Regions from separate parts of the Mus musculus genome. Here regions 2 and 3 are each reported to be linked to region 1. The links are microRNA targets in miRTarBase. Many come from high-throughput screens and were not tested one by one. Region 1 holds a microRNA gene; each other region holds the end of a gene's coding sequence.

Evidence for each region. Region 1 holds the annotated microRNA mmu-miR-134-5p (UGUGACUGGUUGACCAGAGGGG, at 1,475-1,496, opposite strand). A microRNA usually pairs through its seed, bases 2 to 8, with sites in the 3' UTR of a target mRNA and lowers its output. Matches are read on the target gene's strand: a 7mer-m8 pairs with bases 2 to 8, a 7mer-A1 pairs with bases 2 to 7 and ends in A, and an 8mer does both.
Region 2: miRTarBase lists Dcx as a target of mmu-miR-134-5p. The part of its 3' UTR that is shown has no 7-base or 8-base seed match.
Region 3: miRTarBase lists Fadd as a target of mmu-miR-134-5p. Seed matches in the 3' UTR shown: 7mer-A1 at 1,313-1,319.

Annotation. Positions count from the first base shown.
Region 1 is chr12:109,732,384-109,735,640 of GRCm38, reverse strand. It overlaps Mir134 (microRNA 134), which reads right to left and starts at 1,502; the gene lies at 1,432-1,502. Mir382 (microRNA 382) reads right to left here and starts at 1,870; the gene lies at 1,795-1,870. Mir668 (microRNA 668) reads right to left here and starts at 909; the gene lies at 844-909. Mir485 (microRNA 485) reads right to left here and starts at 739; the gene lies at 667-739. It also overlaps Mirg and Mir453.
Region 2 is chrX:143,860,944-143,864,200 of GRCm38, forward strand. Dcx (doublecortin) reads right to left here. Exons shown (of 7, transcript NM_001110223.1): 7 at 1-2,664. The coding sequence ends at 2,608. Among named protein-coding and RNA genes, the nearest start is that of Capn6, 35 kb to the left of the region's middle.
Region 3 is chr7:144,577,545-144,580,801 of GRCm38, forward strand. It overlaps Fadd (Fas (TNFRSF6)-associated via death domain), which reads right to left. Exons shown (of 2, transcript NM_010175.6): 2 at 779-3,257. The coding sequence ends at 2,985. Among named protein-coding and RNA genes, the nearest start is that of Fadd, 3.3 kb to the right of the region's middle.

The sequences.
Region 1 (3,257 bases):
TCACAGCACTCCTGCATCTTCTTCACAGGGGGACACCTTGGGAGTAGACACAGAATGGACAGGACTCTGAGAATAAGTGAACCAAGTGGCTTAAGTCCCAATCAGACCCATGCTCTCTGGCCAACCTCTGGTTTATGGGCCCCAAATAAGCGCCAAGAGGAAGGTGATTTTTGACTCGTCATGCAATGTTTACTAAGTCAAAGGTGGCAGAGCCATACCCACAGCAAACACAAGTTTGCAAGGCAGGTTGTCCTGGGGATGCTGGGTGAAGCTGAGCTCATCTTCAGAGACTTCACTTCAGGGTATGGAATGGCTACAGATAACTCAACACAGGCTCACAATGTTCCGGGTCCCATTCTAGTCTGTATCCTGAAGGTTAACTAGCCAAGGCTGCTTCTAGTTGTTCTTCCATGGTAGAATTAGGTACTAACCAAAACAGAAGCCAGCCAGTATGTTTAAACATTTAAACAGAATCTCCCAACAGTGTCTCTGGTCTTTCCAAAAAATCAGAAATGTCCTAGGAAGTCGTGTGTGGGTTAGCTTGGACACTGGGATAACTGTGTGAAATATACAATTGGATAAAGGCACTTGACATGGGTTTAGCCATCCAGAAACCCACCTTGGGAACAGTAGTGGCTTGAGAAGACCTCTGAGGCAGAGTTTGACACTAGAAGAGAGGAGAGCCGTGTATGACTCGTTTAGATGAATCGAATTCATCACGGCCAGCCTCTCTCCAAGTATCACACATGATCACTGGCGAAGAACACTGGTGAAGAACACATCGACTCTCTCGAAAAGGTGGCTGCTTCCACTGTCCTGTGAAGAAGGGGTGGGACAGCATTGGGTAGTGGGCCGAGCCGAGTGACATACACCTACATTAAGTGCATGCTCACCCGAGGCACACTTACCTGAAGGGGGATGGTGATAGCCTTGAATCTGGTTAGTCCTCCTGGACCAGAGGGGGCGTGGTTCCACAGTTTCCATGAAGAGAATGTATTCTGGAAGCTCCTGTGGTAGTGTGGCGATGTCGGGACAACCATGCCTGCTTCTAGAGGTTGGTATCATCTCACAGACTCTCCTGTAGAGACAGGATATTGAGGTTAGACAACTGGAAGATAGATCCATCAGATAAGTAAGGCACAGGCACATGCTTAGTAAAGTACAATTCAGTCACACACCCAGGAGAGAAGGGACTTCAGGTCCCTCATGGGAAGTCAACATCATGTCCACATCTGAAGTCAACATTTCAAGGAGGCTGTGACAGTGATGCAGCAGCTACCACGGATGCCTCATGGCATCTTATGTAAACATACACCCCTAAGACCACAGTTCATCCTGGTCCACTGAGCAGGCACAGCCATCAAGTCCATTGACATATCCCCAAACTTGGTAGGATCTCTGGAAAGTCTTCTTTGAGTGGAATTGATGCTGAGGGTTGGTGACTAGGTGGCCCACAGGGTGAACAGAGTGCACGCCCCTCTGGTCAACCAGTCACACACCCTGAATGGTGCTGGCACCAACATCTCTTCCGGAAGATGACCTCTTTTCAAAGTCTTGTAAGCTGATACTTGGGGGCAGAGCCACAGCTGCCTCACCAAGGTTGGCACGGCCCACTGATGAGAGGCCTACAGGTGGATCAGATGCTCAGGTAACCCGACCAGGTGACTTACAGCTAGCTCAAGCACACTGTCCGTGGCCAAACATCCATACTTGGCTTCTCTACCAGCTTGACTGAACCGCCATCTTTCTGCAAGTTGCCATCATGTCCAGGAAATCCTTAGAGGTAGCATTTGGTACTGAAAAAAGTGTTGTCCGTGAATGATTCGTCACAAGTAAAGCGAATCCACCACGAACAACTTCTCTTCAAGTACCACAGAAAAGCAGAGACAAGACAGACAAAGGGCCCCTTCCATTTCTCCAAGGGCTATGGTTTCCAACCACCAACCTGCAGGCAGATTGGATGCTGAGTGTTAGTGAGGTGGGGGCAAGTGCTCTAGAAACACACTGGAGTGGGGCAGGGGTGGTCACTCACCTCCCTTGCAACGATGCTGACATTGTCCCCTTTCTCTGTCTTCCTTGGTTCTAGAGTTCACACTGGAAGGTTTTCAAGATGAGAAGGGAGCCCACTTGCTGTAGGTCAGAAGTCCTCTGCAGGTATATAGACCCTGGGGTATGTGAATGGGGACTTGCATTTCTCAATGGTGCACATATGGTTAGTCACATCAAGGTCCTGAGGGGACTATAAAAGTCCCACTGCAGAAAAGCCCAACCAAGGCTACTAGCATCCTCATATGAATCAAGAGAAGGTTCATTGAGCTCTACATGATCCCAGGTGATCCTCCACTCCCACTGTCTCATCTCTAAGAAATCAGTTTCAAGAAGAAGAAGAAGACCATCACAAATGGCGTAACCAACTCCTACAAGCAACCTTGCACGAGAAGGACCAGTTAGCATTTCCAGATTCTAGTGGCTCGCCACTAGGAAGCTTCCTTAGGATAGCTTCCCAAAGCCCTAGTAAGAACCCATCTCTCACCCTTCCGTGTCCCACCTGCCTCCATGGTTTCATAAAACATATTTCACTAGCAAAGTCCCTTGGGGCTTCACTTCTTTTCCATGGCCCCACCTTTCACCGTGATGGAAACCTGGCTCTCTCCTGAGGACATGGAAAGTATTCATCTTATTTCCTACAGTTCTGGCTAGCAGGCGGTAGTACCCCACCTCTATTTTGTTTCCCAGTGTAACATTCATTTGTTGATGTATCATCAAGATCCCCAACATTGGTCCTATGACTTCCTCATTTTCTGTTACCCTTTCTTCCATCTTAGCAGCCTTTCAGAGCATCCAGGGTCATTGCCTTAGCTGAGATAGCCATGATAGCAGCAAGGATGCTCCCTGCAGCCCACCGAATCATTCAGGGATTGTGGTTCCACCAACATTACGGTTGTACTACTTTGGCCCCTCCTCTTCCTACATGTTCACATCTGATGTTGGCTCATCCAGTCCCTGGGTACACCGGCTAGCCCTACTTTAAGAGCACCCCCAGTCTCCACTCTTCCAGTTGGGAAGATTGCTCATCCTCGTGATATCTTTATCAGCTCTCTAAAACCTGCACAACAGCCCGCATGGATTCTCTTGTCACTGTTCTTGACCAATTTGTGGAGCATGAAGTTGGGATATTAATAAGAATTTAACTTTTGAAAAAAAATTTAACTTAAATAAAATCAAAAATCCCCAAAGAGGGTCATGGGAAGACCTCA
Region 2 (3,257 bases), not on the chromosome of region 1:
GGTAAAAGTGGATTAGGAAAAACTGAGAAAGAATACGGGGGATGTAAGAGCTTAGTTCTGAAAAAAATTACTTGAATTTGAGCCAATTTAAAACTAAATTATTGGAGACTTGAGTTTTCAATTTTACCAACCCTTGCCACACGAAGTAGCAGTAAAAAAAAGTTTTCTTATATGTATGTATCTGTGCCTGTATATAAAGGAAAAGTATTTGTTAAAGGTTTACTTGTAGTTAGCACAAAGAAAAACAGAAAGGACACTGTTGTTATACAAGAATGTCTGTTCTAAGAATATTCTAAAAAAGATATGTCCATAGTATTTTCTAGTGCTATATTATACTACAAGTAGAAAAATGCTCAGAGAACTACCAAGAAGCCTGGGCATAGGGACTGTTGAAATTTCTTTGCTCCCACTCTTTCAGTAGAATCTCCATGTCTCATCTTAAATGAATACTTGGGACAACATGGGATTTGCTCAAAGAACAACATAGAGTGTGCTGGAGGATCTGGCCCAGAGGTTAAAAATAGATCTCCTACCACAATTTCTATCCATCCCAAATAACCAATTTTCCCTAATTAACTCAAATGTTCTGGGAGGCACTAAGAAATCACTGAGCTTGTAGAAAAAAAAATAGGGGCCGATTAAAATGGGTTTCTTAATCATTTCATGTGGGCATAGCAATAAAGGGGGGGGGAGCAAAACCTCATGATTTTGGGCTCTTCAATGAGCAGTGTAAGCAGAAACCAGAGCTCTCATCATCCCCCTTCTGCTGAACCAAAAGCAAAAATGTTTCTTGGAATCTCATAATTAAGGACATCTGAAATTTATCAAGGGGGCTCTAGGTACCCCTGCCATCCTACTTCCCCCTGCACATCAGCAATGCCACCAAGTTGTCATCAATTCATGTTGAGTTGTCTTGTGCAGTATTTGCTAAGTATGAAGCAGCCTAGGCGTGCTTGCGCATGCGCGCGCGAGCACACACACACACACACACACACACACACACACACACACAAATGAACCCCACACTCATTCTACTTAGAATGGAGGGACAACTGCATGTCATTCAGCAGCCAAACTTTGAATGCTGCATCTTTCAAACTATCTGAACAATTACAAAGAAGTGAAGGAAATCTTCCTATCTCGTCAAATCAAACACAGAATTGGCATGCATGGCTTTCACCTAACTTTCGTTGTCTTGGCTATTATGGGCTATGAATACAGAGAAAAAGCAATGTTATAAACCTGTACCTCAAAGACAGAGTTATTTCAAGTGATCAATCCGTAATAAAGAGAAGTCCTTCCTAATGTTAAAGTCAAGTGAAAGGTTTCTGCATCTTAAGTATGAAATATTAGGATTATAGATAAAAAAGAGTTACTTAAAATATGCCATAACATTTCATTTAAAATATAACTAGAATGTCTGGTCCACATTGAAATTATTACTGTAAGTGTAACTGTTAAAAAGGTATCAAAAACCTGATTCTATTGAATTGGCCTCTAGTCATTGTGTTTTCTCCCGGAGCTTTCTGTTTGGCAGTGAGAGCATGATTTCTAAACTACAGTATTCTTCTGCATTTTTTTGGTCAATTTTCTACTTGTGTTTTTTAGACAAAGGAAAAAAATCACCAGCTTATAAAAAAGGAGCCTGAAGAGTTTTGCTCCTGAAATACAGAGTTGAGTTTTTTATAAAAAAGGATATGGTTTCTTGCTATAAAAAGCGACCAAAAGGTGTCAGACCTGAAAACAAATTCTCACAGTGTTTGTAGTGTTGGTTGTTTACAAGGCATTCAATAGAACAGAGCTAGATGGATACCATACCGTTCATGTACTAACTTGTACATTAGAAAGCCTCCTGGAAGGATCATGTATGTGACATCATGTACCCCAAACTAATCAATTGATTGATTCCAAATTTCCCCAGTAGAGGGGTTAACCAGGAATCCACTGTGCTTTATACAAATCCTACTGAAATTTGGGCAGTTTTCCCCCTATATTCTACCTCATATCTTTCAGACAGCCCTATACCACAGCCCTAAGCACATGGTGTCACATCAAAAGTCGCTGGTGTTTCTCCATCTCAACAGCCAGGATGAATGCTAGACAATACACTGGGGGCTCAATTAAGAGCAAAGAGTGAGACCAAGGATCTGACTTGCCACTCTCCTGAGATCCTCCAGCATTCTGAAGATACAGAGGCAAGGGACACTTAGGTTTTTCGCTTTTAGATCTGCATATGAAAGTTTTCCCCACACATAAACATTTTAAGTGATGTGTATGTAAACAGCCTTCCAGAGAAGGAAGACTAGTTTCTGAACAAATTGAGTGGGGAAAATACAAAGGCCCCTAAGCATTCAGTAGAAAGGTCATGGAGTAGCACACTTTGAAGTTCTGGAAAAGTCACTCAAAAGGATGGTTATCAATCTATCTCTTATTGGTAAATGTGAATTAGTGGCCCAGAAGAGAAGTCACAAGAAAATAAACCCTACATACTACAGAGTGTTTTGAAAAGCAACAATAACAAAAATGTTTAAGCACCAATAGCCTTGTTGGTCACTTGAGCGAAAGTATTCTGCTACAATAATAGGCTTTGATTTAGCCTATCATCTTTCACATGGAATCGCCAAGTGAATCAGAGTCATCCAATGACAGCGGCAGGTACAGGTCCTGTAAGAAAAGAGACAAAGTTAACTTTCCTTTACTTGGTAAAGGAAAAGTTGAGCTTTGAAATGGTTTTAGAGGTTTGAAATAGTGGTTTTCTAATTTTATTTTTAAAATAATTAATACATTCACAAGGAGCTTTAAAAGTGTGTCAAGAGGTACCCCTGTATTATATCAATATAATCTTTACTCAGCTTCCCCTAAAAGGTAATGTCTACCAGACTGGCATGTTCTTATTTGTGTGATAGAGAGAGAGAGAGAGAGAGAGAGAGAGAGAGAGAGAGAGAGAATGGGATAAAAGTATAAAAGTTGGGGCAAATAAAATATCTAGAAATCCTATAAGGAAAAGACATAAAATTAGCTGTCCATAGAAACTTTACATCTCTCTAATATATGTTCCTGGGAATACTAGTGGCCAGCTACATATTGATGACTGAGTTTGTATACTCTGTAAAAACCTGTATCTATGGGAAGCTCTGAAACTCTCTAACATATATTCCTGGAAATCCGAGTGACTGGCTACATACTGATGACTGAGTCTATGCTCAGTTAAAACCTGAGATGCTCCTAGTCTTTCAGTCCCAGATGATTTTATGGCC
Region 3 (3,257 bases), not on the chromosome of region 1:
AGGGGTTGTTGAGATAGGGTCCCAGGTAGCTTAGACTAGCTTTGAACTGATCCTCCCAAATGCTGGGATTACAGATGTATATGCCATGACACACCTGCCTTTTTTGTTTGAGATAAGGTCTATTTAGCCCAGGGTGGTCTTAAAATGCAGTGACCCCTCCTCCCCTCGCCTCTAGTGTTGAGATCACAGGCATAAGACAGTATGCTCATCAAATTTTGATGGACAGGGAGCAGACCTCATCTTTACAGTCCATTCAGGCTTTGGGAGTCTGGGAGCCATAGACCTCCACATGCATGCCTACCATGCTGTCCTGTTCTAGCCACACCTAAAACACTCCAGCCCTCTCACTTGGCTTTGGCTGAGCAAAGCCTTGGTGACAATGAGTCCCATTGCTGGCAGATATCCCTCAGGCAAGCATCCACTTAGCACATGACTAAAGATTCTGTGGGCTTCCCGAATCTCCCAGAAAACCAGCACTGTTTTGCATCAGCTACTGGAGGCCCATGGCCTATGGTGGATGCATCACACATTCCATCACATCATGTCCCATCGTCTAATTTGAAACACAGCTCACACTGGGACCTTGTGACCAGAAGGCAGTCAGCTGAATGACTCAGAAATGATTGTGGAATTCAAAAATAGGAAACTAAAAATATGCAGGGCGGCTGGCTTCTAGGAACAGGCGGGTCTGTGGTTCCAACGCTTGGTAAAGGATGGGTAGGAGCCAAGACCCTGATGGGAGCTGAGGAGTGAAGAGCAGGCAAGGAGAGTCACCTGTGAGCTGTGCAGCTCTGACAAGCCTTTATTAGCAGCAGGAGGAATTGATGCTGAGGTGTTCAGGGCAAAACTGGGCACAAGTTGGGGAGATGCAGAGATGTGTGGGGTGCTCACCCTGATGATGACCGCGTTTTAATCCCCAACGTGGTTGAAGGGACTCTGTACAAAGGGATAAGTTTCTTTGGTGGCCCAAAAGCCCTGCAACAGTAGTAACTCAATACTGCCACTTAAAGAGGGGAATACAGCAAGTGACATTCTCTTAAATCTAGAAGGAAACCAGCTTGCTCATATCTGAGCTGAACTCTGGAGAGCCATTTTGGATTCCTGAGCTGTACAAAAAATGTGACACGCCGGGCGTGGTGACGCACGCCTTTGATCCCAGCACTGGGGAGGCAGAGGCAGGCGGATTTCTGAGTTCAAGGCCAGCCTGGTCTACAAAGTGAGTTCCAGGACAGCCAGGGCTATACAGAGAAACCCTGTCTGGAAAAACCAAAAAAAAAAAAAAAAAAAAAAGTGACATCTAAGCCCATCGACCTGTGACTTGCCACAGGACAGTTAAAAGGCATCAGCAAGAGCAGTAGGGTTGCCCAGGCTTCCTAGCGCATAGGATGATCAGAAAGGAGTTCAAGGTCACTTCAGTTACACTCAGCTTGAGGCCAACCTAGGTTACATCTGGGCTACAAGAAACCGTGTCTTAAACCCTTCAAACTGGAGAAAGGGGGAGGGGTAGAGAATGACAGAGAACACCCACCAGACACCTTATACAGGCCTATGCATAGTCTGGGGAGTCAAGAGCATTGTGGCTACAGCCAGGTGAGAAATGGGGTCAGAGAAAACAGGATGAGTCCCCAGAGTAGTCAGGAGGCCTCAATGGCCAAGAATTTGAACAAACAGCCAGATGGAGCAATGCTGAGCTGAAGAACATGGTAGGCTTGAGGCTGTGGAGGAGGGTGCAACCCAAGGAATGCAGGAGGGACCAACAATGCGGAAGGCGATTGAGGAGAGTTCAAGTGTGCTGAGGGGTCAGCTGTCTGGTGGATAGGTGGAGCAGGGAGCAGGAAATGAGGGCATAGAACCTAAGTGCCAGGAAATGACTGATCTGTGTTTGAGTACAGGCCCCAGGCTGGTCACTTGAAGTCCACATTAGGTTAGGACAGTGAGGTACAGCTCTTCACTCTGTCAGGAGAACCTGTGGCTAAGATCCTCTTCTCCAGACATGAACTTTTATTTATTTGAGATATGGTCTTTCTACTTAGTGTTCTCTATGTAGGCTAGGCTGTCCTTGAACTCATAGATCACAGAGATCCACCTGCTTCCACCTCCCTAAAAAGCTAGGATCAAAGGTATGTATTATCACACCCAGCCAAAGGTTAGAAAGCTGAGACAATGGTTTATTGGGCTCCAAGTGTGGCAGTCAGGGCCCCTGCTGGTGTGAAGGAAATCACATCACTCCATTCACAACTAGCACCCAGGGCTGTAAGCACACCTCAGTCAGCCTGATGGGAGGGATTTCTGAGGTTAGAAGGGTTCTTAATATAATAGAAATTCTTGGTGACACAAGTTATCTCCAGGTAAAGGCACTTGCTTTTGTGTGTTTGGGGAGAACATCTCATTTGTAGCTCAGGCTGCTGTAAAGTGCAGTTCTCAACTCTCAAGTGCTAGGATTTCAGAGTGAGCCACTATATGTAGGTAGGCCCAGGGCACTTGCTTACAGACCACCATGGAGGCAAGGTGCTACCCTTTAAACCACAGTCCTCACAGGGGTCTTGCACTTGTTTGAGGGTGGGGGGTCAGGAGCTGCTGTCTGATGGCCTCCAAGGATGTGAGACAGATGTCCTCTTGGCCAACTGTAAGGCAACCAAGTGATCTTAACTGAGATGGTGTCTTCCCCCAAGGAACAAGAAGAAGGCTCTCAAACTGCAGTCAGCACATGTGCCATCAGCTTCAACTTCCTTCTTGCAAGACCAGAGACCTCTTGGGGGGGTGGGGGGGAGGAGCAGTGGTGGAGAACACGACGGGGAACCTTCATGTGTTCCGAAAGCCCAGGGAGCAGAGGTTCCGTAGATACAGATATACTCCAGGAGCTGGTGGGAGGGGACCCGCCCTGGATCAGCAAGGTCTTTTTGGCACTGGGCACAAAAGGCACTTGGTGCTACATCATGGTGTGATCAAGTCCACAGTGACTCCTGAGAGGAGCTGTAGGCTTGTCAGGGTGTTTCTGAGGAAGACACAGTTGAATCCCTTAGTACTGGGGACATATTCTCACTCTTGCTCACAGATTCCTGGGCTTCTTCCACCAGGTCAGCCACCAGATTCAGCCTGCAGGTCCGCAGCGCCTTAACCAGTCCGGCCACCGAGGCGTTCTTCTTCTCAGCATTCTTCCAGACTTTCAGACTCTCCCTTACCCGCTCACTCAGACTTCGGGGGTACTTCTCCTCAATCCCATCCATCTTGGCCTCAGACACCTTCAGCTCGCGGGC